Linked DNA regions of Drosophila melanogaster. The protein of the gene in region 1 purifies or fractionates together with the protein of each later gene. This does not show direct contact. Each region holds a gene or a part of one and is shown in the gene's direction. Other genes may lie near its edges.

Region 1 (3,755 bases):
ATCTGATGTACACAATTAACGAAAACGGCGATCGCGTTTACACCCTGAAGGTATATTATTATCAAAACCCTATATATATATTACCCAACTAAGTCACCACTTGTTGCTCTTCTAGAAACGCACCGAGGATGGTCGTCCCACACTATCTGCTCATCCAGCACGTTTTTCACCGGAGGATAAGTACTCCCGCCAGAGGCTGACCATCAAGAAGCGCTTTGGACTGCTGCTCACCCAGAAGCCGGAGCCCATTTACTAAGCCGCATTTTAGTTTTAATTAGTGTACATCTTTATTTACAAATAATAAGCTACAAAACAACAAAACTTGCCCTTTAAATGCGACGCTTGAGGCCCGCCGTGTAATCGAATAACTCGCCATTCCGAAACTCGCCACGCATATCCAGGACGTAATACAGTGTCTTGCCCTTCACCTTAATGGGTAGCTGCACCCTGGCCATGTTCCGTGATTCCTCGGCGGAGACGCACTTTAATGGCACGGTCATAATGCGATTCCGGTTGAAGGGACCGTAGGTCACAAAGGAAACGCTCTGACCACCCTTTCTCAAGATAAGAAAACGCACCGATCGCAGGGTAAACATCCAGACAGCAAACAGTATGCCATATCCTAAAATGTTGGTTGAGTTTTATTTTCGGCTTGCCGAGAACGTAGTAAACCACTCTTACCTATCAGAAAGCTACAGGCTGTAATGCCATTTCTGTACTTATTATCGCCCAGATTTATGCGCTGGAACCACTTCAGCTCCTCTCCGGGTTTTTCCACCACTGGAGCATCCTTAAGCGTCGTGAAGGCGAAGTGCGAGAGATATGTCCAGAAAACAAACTGACACACCCCGAAAAAGTTAAGCATCTGGTAGAATCGGGGGTTTTCATACTTGAAAAGTATTATGTCCTTGGGGACACTGGTGTTCACATCGAAGGGGGCGGCTTGGGAGGAGAATCTCTTTATCGTGGAAGTAACCGGCGTTTTTGTTACAATGGCCGGAGCTGCCAGTCTGAAACTCTGGAGGCTAAGGCGCTTGATGGAGTTGACGCCCTGCCGCAGGGCAAAATTCAGCAGATTGCTCATCTTAATTGAATAATTCCCGCATTTGTTATTATAAAACAAATTAACCTATAATCTACAGATGTTTTTGTTTTGTTCCGTTTGCTATTGGTTCACTAGCTCCGGAACTGGAACTAGTTCAACAAAGCAGCCATCAGGGCTGGCACATGCTGACTCCGTTCACTAGTTCACCCATTGGAACAATTAACGAAAATAACACGATTTTTGCAATGTTCACCGTTGTATTTCATGAGAACGTCACATTACTTAAACGGGCCGAAAACATTTGTCAATATGATTCAGTTTTAAGCAAAAGAAGGGACAGGGGAGATCACGTCTTAGTTCCAACTGGCACTTAATAGTTCTGCTCCCATAAATAAAACGTTTAGCTATACAGCCCTAGTAACAACATATGATTTTGTTTGGTTCCAAACTAGGGATGTACACGTGCATGAACTGCATAACGTTTTTTATTTTTGTATATAAATACTATAGAAATGCTGCTTCTCCTCAGCTATTAAATATACATCCTTTTATAATATTACTATCGTAATGAGAAGGTAACCAGTTTAAGTTATATCTGGTCATCATGTTAATAATAATAATAATAATAATAATACAAATTGCGTAAAAATGCAAAGTTGAATATAAGATAAAATAAGTTTTGCCAAAATCCAACCTAAATAAATACAAAAATAATAAGTATTGTTAGAAACGTCCATAAAAAATGTCTTCTCGATGCGTATCAGAAATCGGCATCCGGAATCACGCGCCAATCTCTATTCCAAGTGCCGCTAGCTTGCAATCTGGGCGCTGCTCTTCGGAACCAGTTGTGCATAGACTGGTTCTTTTCGGCACCTTCTGTTGTTGTGCGATTTTAGTCTGTGTTTCAGTCTTCGTCGTTTAAGGGCATCGGAAGTGGAGTTGCCTGCGAATTGTAAACAAATCACGGAGAAGCTGTTAAATTCATTCAAATCATTGACATTTGATAGTTGCCGTTAGACCACAAGTCATATTTCAATAGTTTTCGGTAATATATAAGTTAATAAACGAGTTTGTCGTGTCGTAGAAAGGTAAGTGTAGTTTTTTTTATCCATTTTATGTTATATTTATAATTTTCTTTATAAAAATACCCTGTAATATAATGGTCCAATCGAATGGTACATTTGGGATTTGCATTTTTTTTACTGGGTTTTGAAGTTTTTTTTTATTTGGACTGGGTACGGGTACCATACGCCAGATATGGTACGAGTCTCTTTAAAGACATTTGTGTTTTCAGGGTTGTCAAGTGACCGCGATTTGCAAATCAGGCGAAATCTGATATATATCTGGATTTGTTACTATGCTATATTTTAGACTAGACTACCGACGTGTAGGCAAGACTATATACCGCAATGCCATTGCAATAGGACAAAAAATGACCTGCCGGTGGCAACCCTGCGCGACATCATGGTCTCAATTATACATTTAAAGACATTTGATTTGCGTCTAATCGGACACATCGAGGTTTTATATTATATTCATGATAAACATAATGCATACCTGGCAACCCTAAAAACATAAAATTGTACAATAGGTGAATAAAAACGCCGCCCGTTTTGCTTTTGCTTCTGCTTGCAACCTGCTCGTTTTAGGTTTTTCGGGGTTTAGTCTTTATCGAACGTCTGATACCAGAAACATGCAGAGGGCGCCGAGGGGATTTCAAAAATGTCCTTGCTTTCGTAAAGCATGCAAAAACTTGGATGTTTTTCGATCTAACCTCACTCTGCATCAAAATCGATACGTAACCTAAAAAGAATGTAAATGCGTTGCAAAATCGCACAAATACACGTTCTGATATACATACACGCTCACACCGATGTGCCGTTGCTACAACGAACTTAACTGGTGTGTGTGCGCGTGTTAGAGCGGGACAGCTATAATAGACATATAGCCCAAAATTGGCTTAAATACAAGACCGAACTTTAAAGACGATAAATTGGCCATATATACTTTAAGTTGCAAAAATACGACACCTAAACATGTTTGTTATCTACATTTGTGTGTATAAGCAACGGTTTTAATGGACCTAAGCATCTTGAAAAAAGTATTGCCATCAGAGCAAGTCGAAATTTAATGATCCAATGTCACTAGCTTCTAGGATCAATTTCTTTAATAGAGCTGATATCGAAGGTTTTAGCATTTCATCTACAAAAACAACGACTTTACGCCTCTATTTTTGTTTGCCCGGTGTTGTAGTTGTTGCTTTCGGCTTGCTGCTGTATCTTTGTCGTGCTGTGTTTGGCGCTACGCGAACTTTATTCAATTCCTACATACAGGCAAATATATATAGCCACGTGCATATATAAATTTGGCCTCTTGCTCTCTCTTGCAATTACTCTCCGGCCGCTCTCTCTGTCCGTCCCGCTCACTCCGCAACTTTCTACAAAACCGGTATCCTGGCAAGGTCCTAAGTTCGTTTCGAAAAGACCAGAAGGACGGACGGACTATAGGTTCTAAGTTTTGAAAGTTTGGAAAGTTTGGAAAGTTTCTTTTTTTGACAGGGTTACATTCTGTTACATTTTTGCTTCAGCCTTCTCTGATTCCACATAATCTTTGCGTTCGGCCTCCATCTACAAATCATCTATTTATTAACACTGGTTGGAGCTGTGTGTAGTTGCACTAAGAAATGGATATTCCATAATGTTCTTTACTT
Region 2 (3,755 bases), about 14 Mb from region 1:
TGCTTTTCCCTTTTGACATTTTTGATATCCAATTTTGATTTTAATTCGTCCTTGTTCTCCTTATGATCTTCGTCGTTCTCTTCGTCTTCAGATTCTCCAGAGTCCTCTTCATCTTCGCCGGATTCCGCATCAGAATCCTCCCCAGAACTTTCATCTTCCTTGCCAACTTCCGCGTCGCTTTCCTCCTTAACTTCCTTCTCGTCACCGTTTTCCTCTTTCACTTCCACCTTTGGCTTCTTCTCATCCGGCTCCTCGTCTTTCGGGTTCTTTGATACATACTCGTCCTTGCCCAAAGCCCAGTCCACAAATACCTTTCTCCCGAGCAGCTCTTTGCCGTTGGAGTTCAGGATCGCTTTGGTGGCCTGGTTAATGGTCTCGTACTGGACAAAGGCGCAGCCCACCAGCTTCCCGTCACCTCGTTTCAGGATGTGTACATCCTCCAGCGTGCCCCACTGCCCGAAATGCTCGCGAAGCGAGTCCTCCGTGGACTTGTAACTGATGTTGCGCACGATGAGACGCGCTCGCTTTTTCTGGCGGCGCTCCTTCTCTTCCTTCAGCCTCTGTGTGTTAAAGGGGTTGCGGCGCTTCCGGACCCCGGTTTCTGGCTGAGATTGGGATTCGGCAGCGTCGTCTTTTAAAGATTTCATTTTTTTAAGTTCCATTTGCACGTGGAACTCTTGATGAGAACTAACGAACAAAACAGCTGATCGGCAAAATACCCAAAATGAAGGTCCATCCCTGGTATAACCGATAGAAAATGGGCGGGAATTTACAAACATTTCAAAAAATGTTTTTAACATTTTATTTGTAACAATTATCAACAATTAAAAAGTCTACGTTTCTTGTTTGGTCGCGAACAGTTGGTGGAACTCCGAGGGGGTCTTGAAGTAATCAACCAGAAGCATTGAGGAGCGGTTGCCCAGTTTGTACATAATGTGGCTCCAGGGATTTAAAAAATTCTTGTATTCAGCTATTTGACCGCGTTCAAAATAGTGTTTTACAGTTCCAATGGGTAGTTGGGACCCATAGACAGCCACGTATCTAAAAATAAAGTAAGTTACTACTTATAAATGTCATGTACTACCGTACAAAGTTACTTTTCCGAGCTCTTGTATATTCTCAGTGGATATTTGGCGACAAAAGCTCGAATCGCCAGGTTTATAAGCAGAAATCCACCCACAAAGTAGTACAGATCTGATTCCTGGGACACCAGAATGGCTATGTCCATTTTCTGGACCATATCCAGGTAGTTTATGGTTGTGGCATAGTGATAGGCGGCCACCGCAGCAAGTACAGTGGTCGTGGCAGTGGATATATTCTTCGTCCAGGTCACGTAGCTCTCGATAGGGGCCCGGTAAATCAGTTTATAGTTATCTGGTAGCCTGTCGCCAAAGAGGAGCTTCCGTTCCACTTCGCCGGAGGATGCATTCCGCCATTTGCGGAGCACGCTGCTGGTGCTAAATGAGAAGGTGCAGAGTGATTCAATCGGATAGGTCAATGGATAGGTCTTACTGTAAGAGCTGGAAATTCGGTTTAGCTAGTATTGGCCGTAAATAAACCAATTTAACACTTCGTAAGAGGGCCGCACACATTTTGTGTTTTATTATGCTGTCTTTGAAAACAATCTGGCAACGTGATCAGCTGTGCTGCAATCAGCGGCACTACCCGATGGTTGTCAAAGAAGAAGGTCTGGCAACGTATGTGCTTGAGGAATGCACCGAAGAATAATCAGCTGTGCCTCGAAGTTGCCGGATCACCAGGTCGCAGCAGCTATGAGTTTTGCGTCAGACTCGAATAATGATTAGAAGCCGACTCCTTCCGGAAACATTCATTAGGTAAACAACACAGCTATAGAACAGACTTTTCCAGTTTCCACAACTTTAGCTAGGAACACGTTCCACATTTTTCCACATTTTTGATACCTTAACAAAATGGATTCAAAACGCGCGGCCCTTGAATCCGGCGACGGTCCGGACGCCAAGCGCCTTGATACCACCGATGATCAAGACAAAGAAGCGTCGGGGGGCGACGGCAGTCAGGTTATGCTGGCCAAACACGTAGCACCCTACACGGGCCACGGATGTACTCCACCGATGGAGTCCTATTTGTTCGAACCGACTCCCGCCGGGAGTCAACTTCTGCCGTGGAAAACTAGCGTTGATTTGGACAACGACGCCGAGCTGGAGAAGCCCACCAGTGACAAGAAACGTAAGTTGATGGTACGCTCACATCCTAGTACTCTTATACAACAATTTCATTCAGCCGACACTGCCAAGTTGTCCCGTCGGGAGCTGGCCAAAATGCGCCGTGAACACACATTAAGGGCCCTCGCCCTGGAACGCGAGTTGACCAACAAACCGGGGCAGACACCCGCTTCCGAAGTGTTGCTCGTCCGCTTTCCTGATCCCGAGATTACTGCTCCCATGCTGGCAGGACTGTCCAAGGATATTCGGGATGTGGTCTTGCCCATTAGCGTGGCTCCACGATACTGTCTAGTGCATCTAAAGGCCGGTGCCGATGTGGAGGCCACCATCTGCGACATAAACAGGGTGCGCTTCGGTACGGGGCACCTTCGGGCGGAGCTTAAGCCGTTCTCCGATGAGGAGCAGGCCGAGTTCATTGATCCCTGTTCTCTGTATGTGGGCAACATACCGTTCAACATGACCACATCGGCCATAAAGGCCTATTTCGCCAACGCCATGCGCGTGGACATCGGAGTGCTGAAGCGCGAGAAGCGCGCTCGCTACGCCTTTGTGCGTTACGCCTCACCTGACCAGACCATGGAAGCGTTCAAGGAGCTGGTCGACTCACCGCTGAACAGCCGCACTCTCACAGTCCGCTATCGGCGACTCCGGAAGCGCGCCGGGATGCCAATGGTGCAGTGCGCCACCTCCTTTCAGGCGCTGCAATCCCCAAATGGAGACGACGACAACACTGACTGCAAGGTCATATCTCCACCGCCGTTAGAGTCTATCATAATTAGCGACAGCGATAACTGCTCAGATTCCAGTGGCAACGGCAAGGAAGACGGCAAGCGCAAGAAGAAGATAAATGAACAGGAAAGAGAGATTGAAAAGCTCAAGCGTCAAATGGCCGAGTACGGCGCTATTATAAAAAGTTTGCAATTTAGACAGAACAGCTTAGAAGGTCTGTGTTGATCTGTTTTGAATATATACTGAGCTTACAAAAACTACTTTTCCATTCGCAGATACATTTATACCTGACCTTACACCCAAAGTAGAGCCGAGCGTGAATCCCACAGGTTGTTTACTAGGATCCAATGCGGTGCACCTAATGCGTGACATTAAGAAAGAGTGCGACTATTTGGGCATCCCTGATCCCGTACCGGCTACCAAGCCGACAACACAAGCTCAAGATGACAGCCAGAAGAAAGCCAAAAGTATACTAATACCCAAATTGAGTTCTTTGACTTACTCTCCTCCTCTTCTCTTGCTTAGGATCGTGTTTTGGCCGCTTGTTTACGGGTCCTTTCAGACGAGGCACTAGTGCGATGAAGACTGCTGACGAGTACGAGAAGGATGACAGACTTGAGGAGCTCTATGCTCAACTGGAACGCGATCCTGATCCTTAATCTGTCATGCTACAGTGTACCAAATTACTCGTCGTAGACGAATTAGAATAATAGTTTAGTTTATTTTTTATTGGACTTCTGTTTCTTTATTTGTTGTATCTTCGTTTTCGTTTTTGTTCAGTTTCTCTTATTTCAGCGTACATTTATGGTATATAATATTAAT

The links. The genes of interacting proteins can lie anywhere in the genome.
Region 2: the proteins of wde (region 1) and Pof purify together in Drosophila melanogaster (affinity purification with western blotting, with the first as the bait; one study listed by BioGRID). This does not show direct contact.

Annotation. Positions count from the first base shown.
Region 1 is NT_033778.4:10,807,118-10,810,872, reverse strand, and holds the start of wde (windei), read left to right. Parts: upstream 1-1,934; 5' UTR 1,935-2,133; intron 2,134-3,755. Other genes in the region: Nop10 ribonucleoprotein, read left to right, coding at 1-50, 116-256; CG12935 (uncharacterized protein), read right to left, coding at 330-622, 682-1,084.
Region 2 is NT_033778.4:24,667,640-24,671,394, forward strand, and holds the start of Pof (painting of fourth), read left to right. Parts: upstream 1-1,757; 5' UTR 1,758-1,835; exon of another isoform or gene 1,836-1,884; 5' UTR 1,885-1,931; coding exon 1,932-2,208; intron 2,209-2,262; coding exon 2,263-3,147; intron 3,148-3,208; coding exon 3,209-3,400; intron 3,401-3,458; coding exon 3,459-3,592; 3' UTR 3,593-3,755. Other genes in the region: CG4806 (uncharacterized protein), read right to left, coding at 1-662; CG33228 (uncharacterized protein), read right to left, coding at 834-1,041, 1,098-1,457, 1,513-1,592. UniProt on the Drosophila melanogaster protein: Probable RNA-binding protein that specifically binds to the fourth chromosome and may bind an RNA that spreads the fourth chromosome.